3 linked regions of the Drosophila melanogaster genome follow. The protein of the gene in region 1 interacts with the protein of each later gene in a pairwise test. Each region holds a gene or a part of one and is shown in the gene's direction. Other genes may lie near its edges.

Region 1 (8,294 bases):
TCTCGCACCATGAGTGGTAGGTCCCTGTAAAATAGAATTCACTGTATTATGTATCATTTTCAATTGAACCAATTTAATAGGCACCTGAAATGGAAGGTCCTGGACTGCTGGCGACGCTTGCCGCAAATCCTGAAGATCGAGAAGGAAACGGAGGAGCGACGCCAGCGGTGGCGCATGAAAATATGGGAGCTCTTGCCTGACTACAAACCGAGAGAGGACAGCTTGTGGTAGCTACTAGATAGAACATTATTACTCTTGTTCGTTGTGCGTTTTGAGTTACTTAATTATATTTATTTTAAATCAATTTTAAATTGCAATAAAGACTTCAAAGCGGTACGACTAAGTACGACTACCGAGAACAGCGTTAAGATTTGAAATACTTTAGTATCTAAGCGACATGCTTGTGCTTTTTGCTTTTTGGTGTGTGAGTAGTCACTTTAAGATGGCTCGCCAGTTGCTCCAGATTCTGTTGCGTCCTGCGGCGTTGGAGGTGCGCTTGTATTCGTGCAAGGTGGATCCCTTCCACCACAAGTAAGCCTGTCTAGCGAGTATAAAGGCTATGTAGGAAGAAATGAGCAGAGCGTAGCAAGCCACCACAAAGGAGATTCCGAGGCTAGAAACAGAGTGTGCATAAGAAACGTTAATTGGAAATAGAAACAAAGTATCTACTCACTCGAAGCCTTCGAACACCTCACTGCAGTCGTCGGGCAAAAGAACTGGATAACCAAGCGGTCGCACCACCATAAACGGATGGCAAATGGAAGTGAGGGTCAAGTTTGCGCCGAGCAGCAGAGCGATCTCCGACAGGGCCAGTCCAACAATGTACCACACGTAGTTCCGCTCGCCAATGCAGCAGTTTAGCCAGTAGCTGTGATGATCGCGCCTCTTCACGCAGGTTCCGCAGACGGGACAGTGGTATGCCCGCCTTGGAGTAACCTTCCGGCAGATCTCGCAGATATTGGGCTGACCGTGCATCAAGCCAGATCGCTCAGCAGTGTCCATATCCCCCACCTCGTCATCATCCAAACTCAGCACACTCTCCATCTGGAGTGTGGTCTGGGCCTCTGCCTGCTCCTCGCCACTCGAAGCCTCGGCGATCCCAGGCAGCTCATCCTTGGGCGTGGTTCCGTATTGAGCAGAAACAAGATTCAAGGGCGACAGTGCCTTGGCGGAATAGAGGCAGTACAAAGCGGCACAGGAGAAGAACATTAACGCGTAGTTCTCCTCCGGAGCCAGCTCCAGCAGAGGAACCTGAAACTCAAATATGATGATCATGTAGAACACCGAGAAGACCAGCCAGCTCAAAAAGAAGTTTGTCCGCGTGGCGGTCCGCTTAGCCAGCTCCATGCCCCAGATGGTGAAGCCCACCAGCGTGAGCATCAGCACTATGGCGGTCTTTGAGTTCAGAGTGGCCAATCCCAGCATGAGGGGGACAATGAAGGCGGGAGCAACGGCTGCGGGCGAGATTCGCTTGGCTCCTCCGCGCCATGGCAAGCGCAGTCTATCCTGGAAGGCGATGAGCATGCCGTCGATGTTCCTTCGATCAATGGCTCGGCAGGTGACAAGTCTGTGGTAAATTTAATTTTAATTGTAGACGGCCTTTCATTTATGTATCCTACCTTGTGCAAACTAAGTCGAAGTCCACGCAGTTACAACAGCATCCTAGGATGTGGGATCGCTCTCGACTGTCCTCAGCCACGTACTCGCAGCAGCAGAGACTCCCGTTCTCCTTACTCTTGGACTCCTCAGCCTCTGATCTCCAGGCTGCAGAAAGAAAATTGGAGGTGCCGGCTGTCATCAAGAACATCGATTTGGACAGGAAATGGCGCGGCGAACGTTTTTTAATGAGTTCCGAGCAGCGTGTACGGAAACAGTTTAGATTAGATTAGTGCACGCCCTACTGGCCGAGTGGAGAAATGTTTCAAAAGTAATTATCAGATCCGGGTGGGTCCATTTTAATTGTTTTATTGGAGTACAACGAATTTGCTTACAATTTCTCCGGAATAACGACAACTACAACAACACAGCTGACGAACGTCCCTCCCTTACAGGGTGCCCCGTGTAAAGTGGGCTGCCAACTTGTTTTATGCTACCGCTATGTTTTGAACTTAGATCTCTTATCATTATTACAAAGTTTAAGAATTGTGTTATAAATAATTCCAAAATATATTTTATTTAAATTTCAATTGCAAGATTCCTCTTTTTAAGTTTTCGTCTGCCTGCCAAACACTCTCACTTTGGAAAACATTTCCCAGCCTAATGTTCTCTGAAAACTGTTCCAGGCCGCCACCAACTCCAAAATAATGAGATTTTGCGGCAACCAAAATGACTCCATCGGATTTTAAGCGACCAGCAAAGGTATCCAAGAGCTTTTGCTGATTTGCAATATTGTATATAGTCTCAGAGGTAAGTATTAGATCGTATTTCGCCACATCCCTTGATAGTTCAGCAAAATGAGACCAATCTCCAGAATATAAGGTTGTACTGTTGTCTAAAAATTTCAGCTTTTCATCTTCAGATAAAGAGTCGTCCAAATTTAGCAGGATATTTGGATATGTTATGTATTCCAGCACATCTTTGTTCTGAAAATATATGATTGCAACCAAACTATTTCAAGACTTATTGTTTGCTTACGTAGTCCTGAAAATCCACCCGTGCGCCGTGTTTCATAGCATATATACCCAGCAATCCGCAGCCACATCCCAAATCTAGGACTCTTTTCTCCTTCCAGAATGAGTCCTCGTACTTTTCGGATAGATATAGTAGAAGATCTTCAGTGCATTCCCATATTTTAGCACCGCCCTCGTAGACACCGGAAATCAGATCTGAATGATTTTCCTCAGACTTCCTGAGATCCAGGTTTACCAAGTGGGATTGCTCCTTTAAATCCTCCAGCAGAAACCCGGCCACAAGATGTTTTATCGTCATCTTTCCCACCTCCATTTCCTTGGCGTTAAGCTCATAGAAATCCATTGCCGAAATTAGGTTATCCAGTGGTTGTACTTTCTCCGAATTGTACCAATCTATATCCTTTGTGATACCCGACTCACGTTCTTCTGAATTTTCCTGCTTGCTAAAAATATCATTTTTAACGGCCTCTGGATCTTCCGAGGATTCCGCCTTCACATCAAAATTAAATTTGAACATGCTTAGAAGGTAGGGTGTTGAACTGTTTTGATTTTAGCAGATACTGCTTGTTAAATATCGTACTGAAATGGACAAATTAGCATTGTTAAACTGGTAATCTATGAAATATTTTAATATTTACCTCCTTAAATCAGCTGTCGGCAAAAACCACGCTTTTCGTACTAAGATCGCCCTGTCCTTTGCGTTGCCAGCTTGATTTAGGGTCTCGCATTTTCATATCGAATATATCGATATGTCTCGGTGGTACAAAAATATCTTGTCGCGCATCACTAGAATTGTGGTTTATAAAAAAATTTCGGCTCGGTTTGGGTTTTTAAAGATTAATTTAATTTATGGCGGACCAGTTGAACAACGAGGTGAGTTTGCTGCGAAACCCAATCGGCAAGACATCTATTGAATGCCAATCCTTCCAGCCCGGCCAACCCACGCCGCTCATGTCCATTCGCTTCGACCAGCAGCAGCACGAAAGTGCGGCGGCCAATGGAAATGAGAACGGCAATGGTAATGCCAATGGCGACGGCGATGCCTCCGAAGATGCTGTTGATGCCGAAAAAACGCCCGGAGAACTGGTCCTGCCCAAGGCCTTGGAGGACGTTCTGGCTTTGAAGGATCAAAGGGCAGCCGAGTTCACGGTGGACGCCGATTCGCAGGGTGGCAGTGGGGGTGCTACCCAGGACGGCGACGAAGCGGATGTGGGCGAGGACAGCGAGGAGGATGCGGATAACCAGGTGAACGGGAGTGCCAGCCAAAAGACCGGCAAGCAGAGCAAGGCGGAGCGTAACAAAAAGAAGAAGAAGCGAAAGAAGCAGAACAGGAAGATACGCCACCAGATTGAGTTCGCACGGCAGCAGCAGTTGGCCCAAGCGGAGGAGAACGAACCGGAGGCCAAGGACTCGGAGACAAAAGCCCATGGCAGCGAGGACGAACAGGTTGCCGAAAAGGAAAAGAAGGACAAACGCAAAGAGAGTCGCAGCAAGCGCAGGAAGGATCGTAGTGATGAGAAAGATACGGACAAAAAGGCTGGCGAGGCCAATGATGAAAATGTGACCATTGAGTAAGTCATAGCAGCTCGTTCCGAGGAACCACACTAATAAACTCTTATCCCTTTCAGATATGTGCCCGAAAAGATAACCATTGCCGATTTGGCGCCAATGTACCGCCAGTTTTATCGTGTGTTCGAAATCTTCAAGCTGGAAAACAAACCAAAGCCTGTGGAGAAGGACAAATCTTCGCACGATTCTGAGTCCCATCCCAGGGACAAAAAGGCTACAGACAAACAGCTCGAGGACGAGGACGATGACGGCGATGATGACGAAGAGCGCAAGGAAGACAAGGAGAAGCTGTCCAAGCGGAAACTTAAGAAACTGACCCGTTTGAGTGTGGCAGAACTGAAACAACTGGTCTCTCGACCTGACGTAGTGGAGATGCACGATGTCACAGCGAGAGATCCCAAACTACTGGTTCAACTGAAAGCCTATAGGAACACAGTACAAGTGCCGCGGCATTGGTGCTTCAAGCGAAAATATCTGCAGGGCAAAAGGGGTATTGAGAAGCCTCCGTTCGATCTCCCCGCCTTCATCAAAAAGACGGGCATCATGGAGATGCGCGAATCGTTGCAGGAACGAGAGGACGCCAAGACACTCAAGGCCAAGATGCGTGAACGCGTCCGTCCCAAGATGGGCAAAATTGACATTGACTACCAGAAACTTCACGATGCCTTCTTCAAGTGGCAGACCAAGCCCCGCATGACCATTCATGGCGACCTCTACTACGAGGGCAAGGAGTTTGAGACACGCCTTAAGGAAAAGAAGCCCGGAGATCTCTCCGAGGAGTTGCGCATTGCTCTGGGAATGCCCGTGGGACCCAACTCACACAAGATTCCGCCACCATGGCTCATTGCTCAACAGCGCTACGGGCCGCCGCCCTCGTATCCGAATCTTAAAATTCCTGGCCTGAATGCTCCGATCCCAGACGGAACCTCGTTCGGTTATCATGCCGGAGGTTGGGGCAAGCCGCCAGTGGATGAGAACGGAAAACCGCTGTACGGTGACGTATTTGGAACCAACATATTGGACCTTGATGTGAGTGGCAACATTCGCGTAGCACTTCTTGTTTTAATGTCATTGTTTTTTTATAGAATGGCGTAGACGAAGCTGACATTGAACGTAACCAATGGGGCGAACTGGAATCGGAGTCAGAAGAATCATCCGAGGAGGAAGAGGAAGATGGCGAGGACTTGGGCGATCAGCAGGATGAGACTGGCCTGGTAACGCCAGTAGAGGGACTAGTAACACCCTCTGGACTCACCAGTGTTCCAGCTGGCATGGAAACCCCCGAGAACATTGAGCTTCGCAAGAAGAAAATTGAAGCCGAGATGGAGGAGTAAGTGAACTAATATTTTTAAAATAACATCACGATTAAGCCCATTATTCCAACTTCTCCTAGCAACGAAACTCCTGTTCTGTATCAAGTGCTGCCTGAGAAGCGCACCGACCGCATAGGGGCTTCCATGATGGGATCAACCCATGTCTACGACGTCAGTGGCAGTGGGGCTAACAAACAGCCCCCAGTTCGATCAACCACAGATCGCGAGGGCATTGTGGAACTGGCTCTCGATCCTAGCGAATTGGACTTGGACAATGACGCAATGGCCCAGCGTTATGAGCAACAAATGCGTGAGCAGCAGAATCACCTGCAAAAGGAGGATCTGTCAGACATGTTGGCCGAACATGTGGCGCGGCAGAAATCGAAGCGCAAGCGACAGCAAACGGATCCGGCCAAGACCACAAAGAAGTACAAGGAGTTCAAGTTTTAGTTTGACAACAAGAAATACAACTTTTCCATTTGTGCGATTGTCAAGGATGTCATTAAACATAGTAAAAACTACAATAAGTTCGCGTCATTCAATTTAAATGCGAGGATTTAAAATAGGTTCTGCAAAAAGTGAAGTTAACACAAAAGATCTTATCTTGTAATTTCTATCGTAATTTGTTTATTTTGATGCAGAATCAAAATCATTTGCGTATAACTTAAAATTTGACTCGTTAGGTTTAATTCTCATTTATACATTGAAACTTATTGAGACTAAGAAATTACAATTGTGGTTCGCTGTGTGGTTTGTGCTGGGACCAGGACAGTATCTAAACCAAACGAAGCAGAGTGCAGTGGAAGGCAAGGACTGAAAAGAGAACTTGTCCAGCAACTGAGTCCAGGGCTAGCTACCTCTCCCGATCCTCCTTAAGCTAGAGCTAGAGAGTGCCACACGATGTCGATGTCGGCTTTGACTCAACGCCTGTCAGCTGGTCACTCGTCGAGCTGCTCGCTGAGTTGGGCTAGAAGAGCCGCTCGCTTCGATTCCAGCTCGCCGTCACTTAACGTCAGCTCCTCGTTTCGCGATCCAGACGACTCGACGGACTGGGCAGGACTAAGGGGCGTGCCGGATCGATTGTGCCTGTTGTGTCGCTTGTCCTTCTTAGCTCGCTTCTCCTTCTTCTTTTTCTTTGCGGGTGAGTGCGAGTTTGAGTCGTTCTGAAGTAGAGCTTGAGTTCCCGGCGATTGAATGCCTGGAACATCCGATTCGCAGGAGGACTGAAATGTAAGCCATGTTAGATAGTATAGTTGTCCAAGGACTGGGCCGACTTGCTACGTACACCTCGCAGTTTGTTCTTGCGCTTCTTTTTCTTCTTCAGCAATTTTTCGCTCTCGATGCTGCCAATTGAGGTCAGGGAATGCTGTATGTGCGTGACGTTATTATTTAACTTACAAGTTGCATTTAATGTTATGTTTAGCATACTAACCGATCGTGTCTTGGAGCGCCTTCGCTTGGACTTCTCCACTTCTATATGCTCATTCTCGATGTCTGATCTCGAGACGGACCGTACTCGTTTTTTGTGCTTCTTGTTTTTCTTAGATTTTCGTGATCGCGAGTGATGATGGCTGCACGCATCTTCGCTTTCCTTAACAAAGTCCTCCCAGATCTTCTCCACACCGATTTCTTTTTCATAAAGGGCAAATGCTTCAAGGTGTTCTACCAGCTTCTTGGCGCTCTCATAGGGTTCGGCCACTGAGACGTTCGCCTCCAGCCATTCGTTTTTAATTTCATTTTCTAGTTTCCGCAACCTTCGCACCTCCTCTTTCATCCGTTCCTTTTCAATGGCCTCGGCCTGTAGATTATAAATACACAAATGAGTTTTATTGATATAAGGTTTTTTTCCCACTCCATAGTTACCTTTTCCAGCAGGGAGTTGTATGTGAGCTTCACATTTCCCGCGTCCAGGCTGGCTGACCGCTTATCTTCACACACGACCGTGGCAAAGTCCTCGAAGGATGTCTTCGCTTGGACAACAAATGCCTTTTCCTTGAGGATCTCCCTTATTATTTTTTTCTCATCATGGAAGCGGGCTTTCAGGTTTTCCACATAGAACTTGAAAAGATCCAGGGGTGTAGACCCGCTCTGGCCGAGCATAGCGGAGAATCGCAAATCGGCTGATATGATGGGATACAGCTCCACCCACAGCGACATGGAAGTGAGCTTTCCCTCTTCATGCAGGGAGTCGAGCAGCGCAAGAAAGGAGTCCCTGTTTTTGCGCTGCTGTCGCTTCATGCGCTTCTTTTCCCGCTCACGTTCCTCGTCCTCCTCCTTTTCCAAGGTGCGAATGTGCTCCTCGAAGACAATTAGGGCGTCCTCCTTGTCCATTCCGAGCAGAGTCACATCATTCTTAAATGCTACGTTGTCCAATAGCATAACCTGAGCCTCTGACCAGGTGGTGGCATGATTGATTGAAGTCATCGACTCTAGCAGCTCGCCCAGAACCTTCATGTTTCGTTTTTTCAGCAACCGCGCTTCTTCCTTCTCTCGCTTCGCTAAATTAAATATACAGTCCTCGTATATATCTCGCCGATCCGGTTCCGGCACCGCGGTCCATGTTCGCGTTCCGGCAAATACTTCTTCACAACGAAAATATTTCATCTGCGAGTTCATCTTATCGCTGGACATAAGGAACTGCTCCAAGTCCTCTTTTGCCTTCTTGGCTTTTAAGCGAGACTCCTCGCGCTCGTCCTTAATCTTCTGCGTCTTGTAGGCATTGAATGTTTGCTTGCGCTCGTTCAGATTTTTGAAGGCTGCGTATCGCGGATCCTTTGATATG
Region 2 (5,679 bases), on another chromosome or scaffold:
AGTTAGTATGTCTTTGGGCTTCTTAATACCATCGCTAGCTTACCTGTAATCCAGAAAGTGGGTATTGTGTTTGCTCGACTCAATCACCGGCGTGGGCTCAAAAATGCATATCTTATTCTCATAGGCTGCTGCTATTTTTCCGGTATCGGTGCTGCAGTCCAGGGCGGATATCTTGACATAGCCATGGTTGGCGCCCGGAATGATCTGGACGCGCTCGAAAGTGCTTGCCAGGATGACCACATTGCAGCCGGCGGCGTAGGCCTGATAATAGGAGGGGCGAAATGGGGATTTTGTGAGTACTGCAGTTAATCTAAGCGTTATACGATCGGTATGTGTTTTCTCAGTTATTTGTTTTTGAGTGGCTATGTGTATATAGGGCGGGTGGGTATATAGCTTTATATCGATAACAATACCCCAACTGTCCAGTTAACTGGCTTATCAGGCTGGCTGATGACAAGGCTCTTGCCACATCATGTTTGGTTACCTGGTTAGCTAAAGTGTGTTTGATTTATTTGTTGAGCTGTCGCTGATATGCTCATTATCGTGGCCAGAAATTTGAATACCCTGTTCGAGTGGGCTAGGGAGGGGGTACACTATTTATAGTGGAAACACTATTCATGTTAATTATCTCTAAAACATTACCGCATGACGATCTGTGGCAAAGGATCATTAGTGCGGGTGTAAAGGGTTGAGTCAGCAGGCTTTATCTTTATAATTGGCTCATTGATGCGGGAGATTACAGATACCCCGTTTAGTTACAATAGCGATAAATGGGGAATATCAACAGAGAATCTGTTTGCAATGGCTTATCGCGATATTGGAATGTGAGCCTTATTTAGCTAGTTAATGAATAAAAACATCATTTCATAAAAACAAGGGTATTAACAACTTCGTCACTACACACTACACACCTGCTAACTTTTTGACATAAAAAGGTTCAACTACTCTGCTTTTCTGTCGTGTTTATATTTAGCTTTTTGCTTTCCGGTTTTCCCATTGCTTTAAATGTCAGCTTATGATGGGTTTATGCGTTTAACTGAGAATATTACCCATTAAGTAAACACACCGATGATACTTTTCAATGGAGGGTTTTCCGAACTTTTCGCTTACCAACCCATTAGTGTTCCCGCGGATAAGATTACTTTATATAAAACTTTGTTACCTGCTGAAAATAAACAGTGATTTTTTTACGGTATCCTATTGTAGTATTGCTATACTATTAAAATTTGACTTTAAATGCGGTTTTAATGAGTTTATTATTTTTGGTTTCCCCTTCCAAACGCTAGGTGGCGCCAGGGGAGTGTGTTCGTGCCGATCATATACTAAATAAATATATGCATACACACATACATCCACACATATGCAAACACTCGAAATTAAACAAATTGAAATGATGGCAAATGATATGGCGCAAGGCGGTGGGCAGTGGGTGGGTGTTGGGTGGTTGGTGGTCGGTCTGTGAACGGGGGACTGTGTCAACGGCGGTGCTGATTACAGAATAGAATATAGTAGAATATAGAATATATATATAATGTACACATACGCCCCGTGGGGCCTCTCATTAGAATGGCAAAATGTGCACAGTAGTTAATTATGCTTCCTTGGGTTTTTGCAGGAAAACACAGACCTTGTTCTCTACATCGGATAAACATTCTGAGTAAACATATAGTACACATGTCTCAATGGGTGTAATGTTTATAAACTCGAAGTTGACATAGCGAAGTTTATAGTGAGCTCTTCAACTTTTTCCTGTTACCGTTAAAGGTTTTAGACACGAAAATGGCCAGATTGCTAAGAGTATTTGGTAGTATATAGTATAGGGATCGAATAAGGCACATTATAAATGCGTGCTCACGTTTTTTTATTATGGCCGTTTATAATTCCAATTTGCCATTGACGTGGGTTGGCGAAAGGGGTTGCGGGGCGGGGGGTGCTGCCATAGAGAAAGGGTTCGTGGGAAGGGGAAGGTGGGCAGCCTGCAAGCTGCGAAATTAGGGCATCAAAGGCCACCTGACCAATCGAAGGGTATACACACACACATACTCGCACTTATATATATATACATGCGTATATACTTTCAAGCACACACTCTCACTGCAACTGGCGCATGTGTGTGTGTGTGTGTGCGTGCGGCTTGTTTACTGCCAGCACTTGACCTTAAAAAAATAAAAATGTAATTAATTGCTGGCCAGGTATGTAAATGCAGGTGAAAACAAACATTGTGTTGTATTTGTTGTGCCACACAACATACACACACACACACTCGAGCTGCACACTTTGTTGTTATCGAATTTTTGCACAGCGCCAGCCAGCAAACACGAAAAGTTCTCTATCTCATCATTTGCATTTGATTTTTTAATTGACCACCAAGTGTGGCAAAAAAAAACGATATAAAATTCAACACACATTCACACACACCGCACACACGCACACCACACACACGCAAATATGTAAATAAAAACATTAAAGACGTGCTCCGATCGGTTCTTGTTGGAATGACGACGATGGTGATGATGATGCCCCGTTTCCAATTGGAAACGGTTCAACCTTTTGAACCAAGTGTGCGTGGGGGGGTTGGGGGGCGTGTCCGGCTGGTTGGGCCGATAATGGTGCACATTCCGCCACCGATTTTCACCCAATTCGATCCGGATTCGGATTGGGATGGCTCTGTGCTTACTGTAAATGGTATTCCTTCCACGGAGCCAATGGCGAAGCACCGGTCGCCTGCATTGCAAGCGCCGCTCAAAATCTGATGACAATTCATAATTTACACACAGTTGATTATCACATCACAGCGCACGGATATTGGGGTCTTGGTTCTTTGGTTTCTAGCACGAATTTTCCTTGCTTCTTGTAACAAACGACAACAAAGTGACATTACATAAAAATTAGAGTTGGGTTCTTGGCCAGCGCGGCCAATCGAACTATCGATATTAGGGATGGCACGGCATGGGAGGCGAAATATCGCCTGAGTAATTTAAATACGGTTACTCCAATTAACCGAAAAACTGTTTATCATTTAATTAAAATATTATTATTAAAATATTTCATTTTATTTTCAAAAAATAGAGGTGAATATTTTAACCTATTGAAATTATATTTAATTATTCTGCTTCGTCTATATTTAGTATTTTTTCTAATATCCGTTCGATTTGATTCGATTTCGATATCAATTTCGATTGCCAATAAAAACGAAATCGTGGAATATATATCGATTCATGGTATCGATAGGCTGTTTCGATATTCAGGGTTGTGTTGCGAGCATTTTTGCATGTTGAAAACGCCGAAAATTAGTTTTTGGTTTTGTTTATAAAAATAGCTCCGAAATGGCGGCAGGTCCAATTGCTGAACGCAACCAAGGTGGGTTTGACCTCCACTCCACATTTGCACCACTTGGGAGACGCTTTAACCCGCCTTTTCCGTTCCTTCCACAGATGCCACCATCTATGCCGGCGGTCTTGACGACAAGGTGTCGGAAACGCTGCTTTGGGAGCTGTTTGTCCAGGCAGGACCAGTGGGTAAGTCCCGGACACACATGTATAGTGCCTAGCAGCTCCCTAATCGTCATGCTTGCAGTGAACGTACACATGCCCAAGGATCGTGTCACCCAAATGCACCAGGGCTATGGATTCGTCGAGTTCCTCAGCGAGGAAGACGCCGACTATGGAATAAAGATCATGAACATGATCAAGCTTTACGGCAAGCCCATTCGCGTGAACAAGGCGTCGGCGCATCAGAAGAACCTGGACGTCGGCGCCAACATCTTCATTGGCAACCTAGACGTGGAAGTGGACGAGAAGCTGCTGTACGATACGTTCTCCGCCTTCGGCGTTATACTGCAGACGCCGAAGATCATGCGAGACCCAGAGACGGGCAAGTCTAAGAGCTTTGCGTTCATCAACTTTGCCAGCTTCGAGGCCAGCGATGCGGCCATGGACGCCATGAACGGCCAGTACCTGTGCAACCGTCCCATTTCCGTGTCCTATGCCTTCAAGAAGGATCACAAGGGCGAGCGTCACGGTTCGGCTGCGGAGCGCCTGTTGGCCGCCCAGAATCCATCGACCCATGCAGACCGGCCGCATCAATTGTTCGCCGATGCACCGGTGCAAACCATGATGCCCCAGATGCCGGGCCAGATCCCGGCCCAGATGCCGGGCCAGATGATGCCGCCACCCATGATGGCGCCGCCGCCGCCGGTGGTGCCCGTTTCGAATAACAATATGGGCATGCTAGCACCGCCGCCGCCCGTTCCCCAGCCTGCACCGTTCCCAGCTACGATACCGCCGCCTCCGTTGCCACCGATGACCGGCGGACAGCCGCCGCTGCCGCCAGCAATGGGCATTCCGCCGCCGCCTCGCATGATGCAACCAAATGCATGGGCACCGCCCGGCATGCCTGCTCCTCCGCCCAGACCACCGCCCACCAACTGGCGTCCGCCGCCCGTGCCCTTCCCACCCACGCCCTACGCACGGCCCTATCAACCCGACGGCTACCAGTACTAAGTCTAGCGTGTAGTGTATACCAATTTGGACGAGACGAGAAATAAACATCAATAGGATTCATCAATGAAGCCTGCTCTGGGATATGTTAAGATTTCCATTCTTCTTTCTAATATGCATTTAACAACCGGGAAACCACTGGGAGACATTTAGATCATCATTGTATTTCCATTTAGTAGTCGCAATACAATCTTCGAATTCTTACAAGACGAAATTAAATAACTTTGAATAGAATTTTGAAATGAACGAAATGATTTGATATAAATTGACTCTCGATTCTTGATTTTTTTTTAAACGGAACTATTTTCAATAAACATAAAACGTTTACATTAACAAGTCTGTAAGTTTAATTTGAATGGAACATACGAAGAAAGCGATAATTTTTTTTTGTAATTTAACTAAGTATTTTTAAAGGGCTCCCTCTAATTTAATGTCCAATCCTTTGAAGTTATGTATAGAAACTAGCTTGTAGTTCAAAATAAACTGAGGAATGATTTTCCATTTATTGAAATGAAACTAGGATTCTTTTTTAGCATTCCCAAAATGATGCCGTCCCGCTTTTTTTCGAAACACGTTTGTTTTTTGGTCTTGTAATTTGTTTAGCATAAATTTATTAATATGGGAAACATACAAGTACAGTATTTACAATAGTTTTGACTACTATTCATTTTTTACTCTTCGTCTATTGAATTCTTGCCTAAGCGATTTTGGTTTAGTCCCACTGTGCTAACTTCCATTTCGTTTGGTAAAATAACTTAACTTTAGCTTTACGTTTAAATGGTTATATTTAACGTTATTTTCTCCTTCGTCTCTTTGCTTTTGCTTTTGTTTTTTTTTTTTTTGGTTAAGCAAGACAAACAACAACAAAAAAAAAACTGTGAGGCATATAGTAATAGTAATAGTAATAGTAATAGTTTTAATCAATAACGATGTACAAGCGAATCGTTACGCATCAATTTTCTCGCATTTATTTAAATTTCTTTTGGTTTTCGATTTGTTTCTTTCTTTTTTGTTTACCTTAAAAAAGATGTATATATAAAAAAAAATAATAACATAAAAACATTCTGAACTGGTTTGGTTTTTTTGTATGCGTCTGTGTGCGTGAGTGTGTGTGGTGTGTGTGTTCGTGGTGTGTGCTTTTTTGGGGTGTGTGTGGATTTTGTTTGTTTGCTGTTGTTGC
Region 3 (6,536 bases), on another chromosome or scaffold:
ATCACCATAAATCTAGAGATAATGAAATCAAAGCTCCATTTCAGAGGTGCTTATTGAGCCTGGCACCAGCTCGTATAGATTCGCCTGTCAGTTGCCCATCACATGTCCCTCTTCTTTCGAGGGGACACTAGGTCGGATACGTTATCTGGTGAACGTGAGGTTCGTGCGTCCGTGGAAGTTCGATCTGAACTTTAATCGATGCTTCACTGTGATCAAAGTGATGGACCTGAACTCCGAAAGCCTAATGCTGAGGGTATGTTTCTTAGTCTCTCCACACACTATGGAATAGTCCACTGTACCATGTGTTGTACCAAAGACATTAGAATAATGTCTAATTCTAGTGTCTTTGGTTGTACCATGGTCAAGTATAAAATTTTATATTTTTATATTTTATAAATTTTAGGTACCTAGTCAAGTGGAGTCCCAGCGAACTTTCTGCTGTTTTCCCTGCCGCTCGTCGCCACTCAGTATGCGACTTTCTGTTCCACAGAGTGGCTTTGTGCCAGGACAGATCGTGCCGGTGGAGGTGATGGTCTCCAATGACAGTGGTGTAGCCGTGGAGGACATAACCGTAAAACTGACTATGGTGGTGATTTACTACAGTCAACCCCCGTCCGCGGACACCAACAAGGACCGTTTTGAGATGGTCCTGAAAACAGGCGGAGGTGTGTCGACCAAATGCCGGCAGCAGTTTACCTTCGATCTTAAGGTGCCGCCAACTCCGCCAACCTGCTTTAATCTATGCAGCATCATTCAGATCGGCTATCAGGTGGAAGCGGAGGCCAGAGTTAAAGGTTGTCATGGCGGCCAGTCCCTTCACATGCCCATAACTATTGGAAGTGTCCCGCTAACGAAGCAACTCCAAAAAGAACCAAGGACTTGGGGTGAAGTTCTGCCACCCCAGCAGCTAGATGCGAAGGCTTTGATTTTAATTGGCAGCGAACAGAATGGAGAAGCACTCGGAAGCCCCAATCCTTGGGCTGCGGATCCTTCAATTGGTGAGTAAAATAGGAGCTTTAAGGAAATTCATACAAAACTCCATATTCGAATTTAAAGATCATAATTCAAGGAATCACTTATTTATTTTAGCACCGCCGAGTTATGCTGAGGCTAAACACATCTCCCCGGATCCGCACAAGTTCTCGAAATCGAAGAAAAAGTCTCAGAAAAGAGGTGTAAAAGGATCACAAGAGAGGAAAGCTGAAACAATTGTGTTTTCACCCTTATACGCAGTCTTTGATTTGTCAAACCAAGTGGACGAAATGACTTTGAGAGCAAATGAACCCAAGACTGATGGCGGCTATGTCAATGAAGGTGTAGAAAAAAGCACTTGGCTTTAGAAGGGCTTAAAAATGAATGTACCCACTCTGTAAATAATTAATAAGTAATCGAAATACAACAGACATGACAATTACCCTGTGGTTGAACGCAAACTGCGGGAACTTTTCGTCGACCTCAGTGAGCAATATTTGCTGAGTTGTGCGATATCTTATCGATGAGTTAATATATTTATTTGAGTGAAATTGCTATCTTCAGATGCGAGAGCCTCAACTCATTTGGGGGCACTTGTTTTTACACCACAAATATAAGTATCAGCTGTTTTTGGACCTGATAATTCAGTTCTCATGTTAGCTGGTTACGAATGATCTATTTATTGTATAAAAAAATTGTAGGGGGTTTTTGGGTTTACCAATAAATAGATTTATGGGTGTACTGATAAGATAAATTACCAAAAGCTCTCCGTTGCACAAAATAAGTGGTAAGAAACTTTTTAGTTCAGTTTGATTGCGGCAATTGAAGGGAAAACATCTTAACAATTAACGACAGACTTAAATTCATTAAAACTTGTGCTTTAACCATAAAAAACCATGGGAATAATTTGCCAAATTCTTTTTCACAACAACACGCAAGGGGTTTTTTACGCGGGCCAAATGGTTGCTGGTCAAGTGACTCTGAGCACTGATAAGGCGATTCAAATCAAAGGTAAGTACTCAGTTGTGATTGCGATACTTCATATAATTCTCGCAACATTTTACATATTAAGCAATTCGACTTAAGCTAAAAGGTTATGCAGAGACCCATTGGACCGAAAGCAAGACTGATTCGAATAACAAGTCCACTTCAGAGTCGTACAATGGATTTGAGAAATACCTTTCCAGTAAAGTTTATCTTTTGGGTTCCGAAATTAGCCCTGGTAAAATATTGAGTGATAATTTGTTATTGAAATTGGTCAAAATTTCATTTTATGTATTCGCAAAGAAATGGCTTTGGAGCCGGGAACTAGGTCCTACAATTTTGCTTGTCCAATTCCAATCAATTGTCCCTCATCGTTCGAGGGGACTCATGGTCGTATACGTTATATGGTGGATGTCAATATCATTCAGCCGTGGAAGTACGACAGCATTTTCTCAAGAGCTTTCACCGTTATTCAAGTGATGGACATAAACACCTATAACTCTGTTTCACAGGTAAATATAACATGAAACGAAATTTTGGAGGTCTGCTATAACAATGTAATCGCTTTTAAGGTTCCCGTGCAGGCCAAGACTGAGAAAACCTTTGGGGTCTGGCCCTTCCGATCGGATCCTCTAACGCTGGAGCTGAATTTGCCGCAGACTGGCTTTGTGCCTGGTCAGACGGTACCCGCAAATGTTCTGATTGGTAACGAAAGCAAAATTCGGGTGCACGAAGTGAAGGTTGGACTATCAATGATGATCACCTACTACAGTGATCTAAGTTCAGGTTCCAAGTGCGAGCGCAAGTCCGTGGCCAAGTTAAAGGCAGATGGAGTTTTGAGGAACTCCCGGAAAATGTACGACTTCCAACTGATGATACCCTCTACTCCGCCTTCATGTTTCCATCTGTGCCGCATTATCAAGATCGGATACCAGATCGAGGTTGTGGCCAAGGTGAAGGGCATGCATATCAATGGAACTCTGATAATGCCGGTGACTATTTGTGGTGTTCCGATATCGCCGTCAGCGGTGCAATATACGCCGCAGAGCTCTGGGCCAGAGGCTCCAGAACAAAGAGCTTTGACTTTGATTGAGGGAGAGGGAGCTTTTGCTCCAGCTGCTCCCCCATATCCCTGGTCAGAAGGATCCACACTATGTAAGCTGTCCTTGTTTTAATATGTCCATATCAATTATGTAACCATACGATTTTTATAGCGCCACCGAACTACGCCGAGGCCATGCATTCCCATAGTGACTCTGAGAAACAGTCAGAGTCGGGAAATGCGCAAGAGAAGTCTTACAAGCCGTTGTATCCTGTCTTCGATTTGTCTACTTCAACTGTAGAAAAGAGCAAGGAAGCGGCTTTGGATAAAGAGGAAAAGAAATGAAGGCGGGCGAAAAAACTATTCTACATTTGAGAACCATTGGACATCCCATCCCACGCCTGCTTGTCAAGAAGTCCTTGGGATTTTTCCGGAGATATGAGGGCTATTTGCTGCTCGACTGCATTTGGCAAAATGTATAATTCAAAATTGTGACAGCGATAAGATAAAGTTTTTCTGGCCATCGCTACCAATATAGAACAACCGCAATGTTTGTTTTATTCTCAGTTGATTTCTGGCAGCCAAGTGGGCATGTGGGTGCTATCGTCGCGAAAAGCGGTTCCTTCCACTCTGTCTGGAGTTCTCGGAATTTAGGGAGTAAATAACTGAACATTGGCATTAAAATCAAATCAGTCGTGTTTGCAGCGGCATCAGAGTAGGATCGGCCCATAAATACACGATTGCGGTTACAATTACAATTATGACTGTTACCTGTGAAATTGATTTCGATAACAATCCCCATGGCACCTACTTTGGGGGCGAGGTACTCACTGGCAGAGTTACGTTGAAGCTGGACAAGATGAAGTTGGTAAAAGGTGAGGGGCAGTTGATTTGAGATACCTTTGGAATTTGACAATATGCCATGAGTCATTCTTATCTTATCGTCCAACTTAAAAGTGCGGTTGAATGTTTTTAAACGAAGATTTAGTCCGGTGACTCATATATTTATAGTGAGTAGAGAACCACACGTGCGAAATCTAATGTCTACATGAAGGTGTTTGGCGAACATACACAAATGCATCAATGATAATATTTGCGTTCGATAAGATTAAATTATTTTTAAATAATCAATGGGTTTCGCATTAATTAATATTAAATAGGGGTGGATACATATTTGACTTTTTCATATATACAACGATTGCTTTTGTAAGTTTTTATGGATATTTCATGTGAATGCATAACAGTAATTCTGTATGATTAAAAGATTTTAATTTGTCAAAACCATAATCATCGTTTAGATGACTTAAAAAACAATTAAAGAATAAATTCAATTCGTTACAGTACATTGAGCTAAAATACCTTTCTAAGAAATACCTTATCAACTTCTTCTCCGCAGCCATCACCTTGAATATAACCGGATACGCAGAGACGCGTTGGATTGAAAGGGTGACCACAAACAGAAGGAGGAGACGTCGCACATTCTGCGGCCGCGAGGATTACATAGCGTCCAAAACATTTTTGGTGGGATCCAATCTGAGCAGTACGTAAAGCTCCATTTAGGCAAGAAAGTCCATCTAATTGCTAATCATATCTGCAGGCCAAGTATCCATTGAAGCGGGAATTCACACTTACAACTTCGTGTGCCTGATTCCCACCGAATGTCCTTCGTCCTTCGAGGGATCACACGGCAGGGTGCGGTACATGGCAACCGTAACCCTCGTCAGGCCCTGGAAATTCGATCAGAGCTATACCCGATGCTTTACGGTGCTAAAAGTGATGGACTTGAACTTCGATAGTCCACTGCTAAGGGTACGAATCAAAATCAAACACGAATACATATCTGTTAGAACCTAAGCTAATTGAATATGTTATGTAGGTACCCGCCCACAGTGAAACCTCGAAGACCTACTGCTGCTGGCCTTGCCGATCAGATCCGTTGGCCCTCCAACTGACCGTTCCACAGACAGGATTTGTACCTGGCCAGAATGTTCCCCTTAGCGTGCTGGTCACAAACGATAGCCACATTCCGGTGGAGCAGCTCCTCATTAGTTTTGTGATGCTGGTGACATACCACAGTAAGCCACCTTCGATGCCCAATACCACGTCCGAGAGGTTGGTGGTAAACACCTTCAAGGGGGACGCTGTGCAAAGGAACTGCAAGAAGCTATTTAGCTATGAGATCAGAGTCCCGGCCACTCCGCCCACCTGCTTCAACCTGTGCGGCATCATCCAGATCGCCTACCAAGTGGAGGTGGAGGCCAGGGTGAAGGGTTGCCACAACAACGAGGTTGTCACCATTCCGCTGACCATTGGCAGTGTCCCTCTTGCACAACACGTACCAATCCAGCCTCGGGGTTTCGTCCCCCAGCTGAATGTTAATGAGCTGGCTGTTGAAGAAGTAGCCACTGCTCCAAACTCTTCAAGTCCATGGTCTGTCGACGCATCCATTCGTGAGTTTACTAGAATCCATAAACTAATTACAGTATCAATTTATGTTTTTTGTTGGTGTTTTTAGCTCCGCCCAACTATCAGGAGGCTGTTCACATGCGCAGCACGGCTGCAACGAGGTCAGACGACTTAGACGACCCGGAACCAGTACCGCCCAATACTCTCAGTTTGGATGGCGGTGCTTATAAGCCACTCTATCCGGTCTTCGACATACCCAGTCCCTCAGCTCCGCCGCCGACGGATTATACGCAGAATTATATGGCAGAGAGGGCCTTTGTCAATCCGGCCATGGATGTGGACAAAGACAAGGGAACGTGGCTATGAGAACGAAAATAAATACTATACTAGAAATGTAAGGGCGATAAAGCATTTGCACACAAGGCAAAAGTTCCACCTAACACTTTATAATAAACATTTTATCACAATTCCAAGACTGGTACAGGGTGGAGCGATTTTTGAAATTATTCGAAATTATATATATATTACCATATGTAGTCTAAGATTTTCAAACACGACGCTTTTCTTTCCTCTTGAAAACCCCTCGATGAATGCTGGCAATAACTTCCCCAGTGCCAAGGTCTCGACAACCAACTCTGATAACAGACCGAAAACCCCAAGTGAACGTCCGAGTAGTTCGCAAGGGAACTTATTATCGACTCTTATACAGTTTGGACTACGATTCCGTATCGTTCCCGGTGAAATCCGAATCCGACATCGGGTCCAAGTTATGGTTCTTATCGCTTATCTAACGACGCGGTCGCACCGCAAGCAGTCCAGAAGTTTTGTACTTAAATTAGTCGCAGTGAGTTGCCCCATAACATCGGTTTTAGCTTTTTCGCGCTCGGACATTTAATCTTGGGAAAAATGGTTGTTACGTGTGAGATCAGCTTCGATAATAATAAACATGGTACTTTCTACGCCGGTCAGCTGGTAAAAGGATGCGCGACCCTTAAATGTGACAGGTCCAAGGAGGTTCAAGGTAATTATAGTAAACGTTTAATAAACTACATTGAAAACAAATCCCAGAAGTTCGGCTAATTTCTTGAAGTTAGCTCTTCCTAGCGGCAGTATTATAAATATTTGCTCGATA

The links. The genes of interacting proteins can lie anywhere in the genome.
Region 2: the proteins of Sf3b2 (region 1) and Spx interact in a two-hybrid assay, tested with the Drosophila melanogaster proteins (one large-scale study listed by BioGRID).
Region 3: the proteins of Sf3b2 (region 1) and CG18745 interact in a two-hybrid assay, tested with the Drosophila melanogaster proteins (one large-scale study listed by BioGRID).

Annotation. Positions count from the first base shown.
Region 1 is NT_033779.5:3,024,273-3,032,566, reverse strand, and holds Sf3b2 (splicing factor 3b subunit 2), read left to right. Parts: upstream 1-3,398; 5' UTR 3,399-3,479; coding exon 3,480-3,503; intron 3,504-3,560; coding exon 3,561-4,201; intron 4,202-4,258; coding exon 4,259-5,228; intron 5,229-5,284; coding exon 5,285-5,529; intron 5,530-5,592; coding exon 5,593-5,962; 3' UTR 5,963-6,315; downstream 6,316-8,294. Other genes in the region: CG17258 (uncharacterized protein), read left to right, coding at 1-16, 81-231; GABPI (beta4GalNAcTB pilot), read right to left, coding at 433-613, 674-1,567, 1,620-1,807; CG17219 (uncharacterized protein), read right to left, coding at 2,172-2,582, 2,635-3,147; Prp40 (pre-mRNA processing factor 40), read right to left, coding at 6,451-6,735, 6,798-6,878, 6,945-7,310, 7,376-8,294.
Region 2 is NC_004354.4:6,252,585-6,258,263, forward strand, and holds Spx (spliceosomal protein on the X), read left to right. Parts: upstream 1-3,237; 5' UTR 3,238-3,326; coding exon 3,327-3,360; intron 3,361-3,434; coding exon 3,435-3,518; intron 3,519-3,576; coding exon 3,577-4,502; 3' UTR 4,503-5,012; downstream 5,013-5,679. Other genes in the region: Rbcn-3A (Rabconnectin-3A), read right to left, coding at 44-261, 2,678-2,764.
Region 3 is NT_033777.3:7,783,176-7,789,711, reverse strand, and holds CG18745 (uncharacterized protein), read left to right. Parts: upstream 1-3,592; 5' UTR 3,593-3,758; coding exon 3,759-3,873; intron 3,874-4,394; coding exon 4,395-4,538; intron 4,539-4,595; coding exon 4,596-4,807; intron 4,808-4,874; coding exon 4,875-5,448; intron 5,449-5,513; coding exon 5,514-5,770; 3' UTR 5,771-5,869; downstream 5,870-6,536. Other genes in the region: CG18746 (uncharacterized protein), read left to right, coding at 45-253, 404-998, 1,090-1,340; CG18748 (uncharacterized protein), read left to right, coding at 1,869-1,983, 2,045-2,194, 2,260-2,468, 2,529-3,111, 3,171-3,343; CG18747 (uncharacterized protein), read left to right, coding at 6,311-6,425.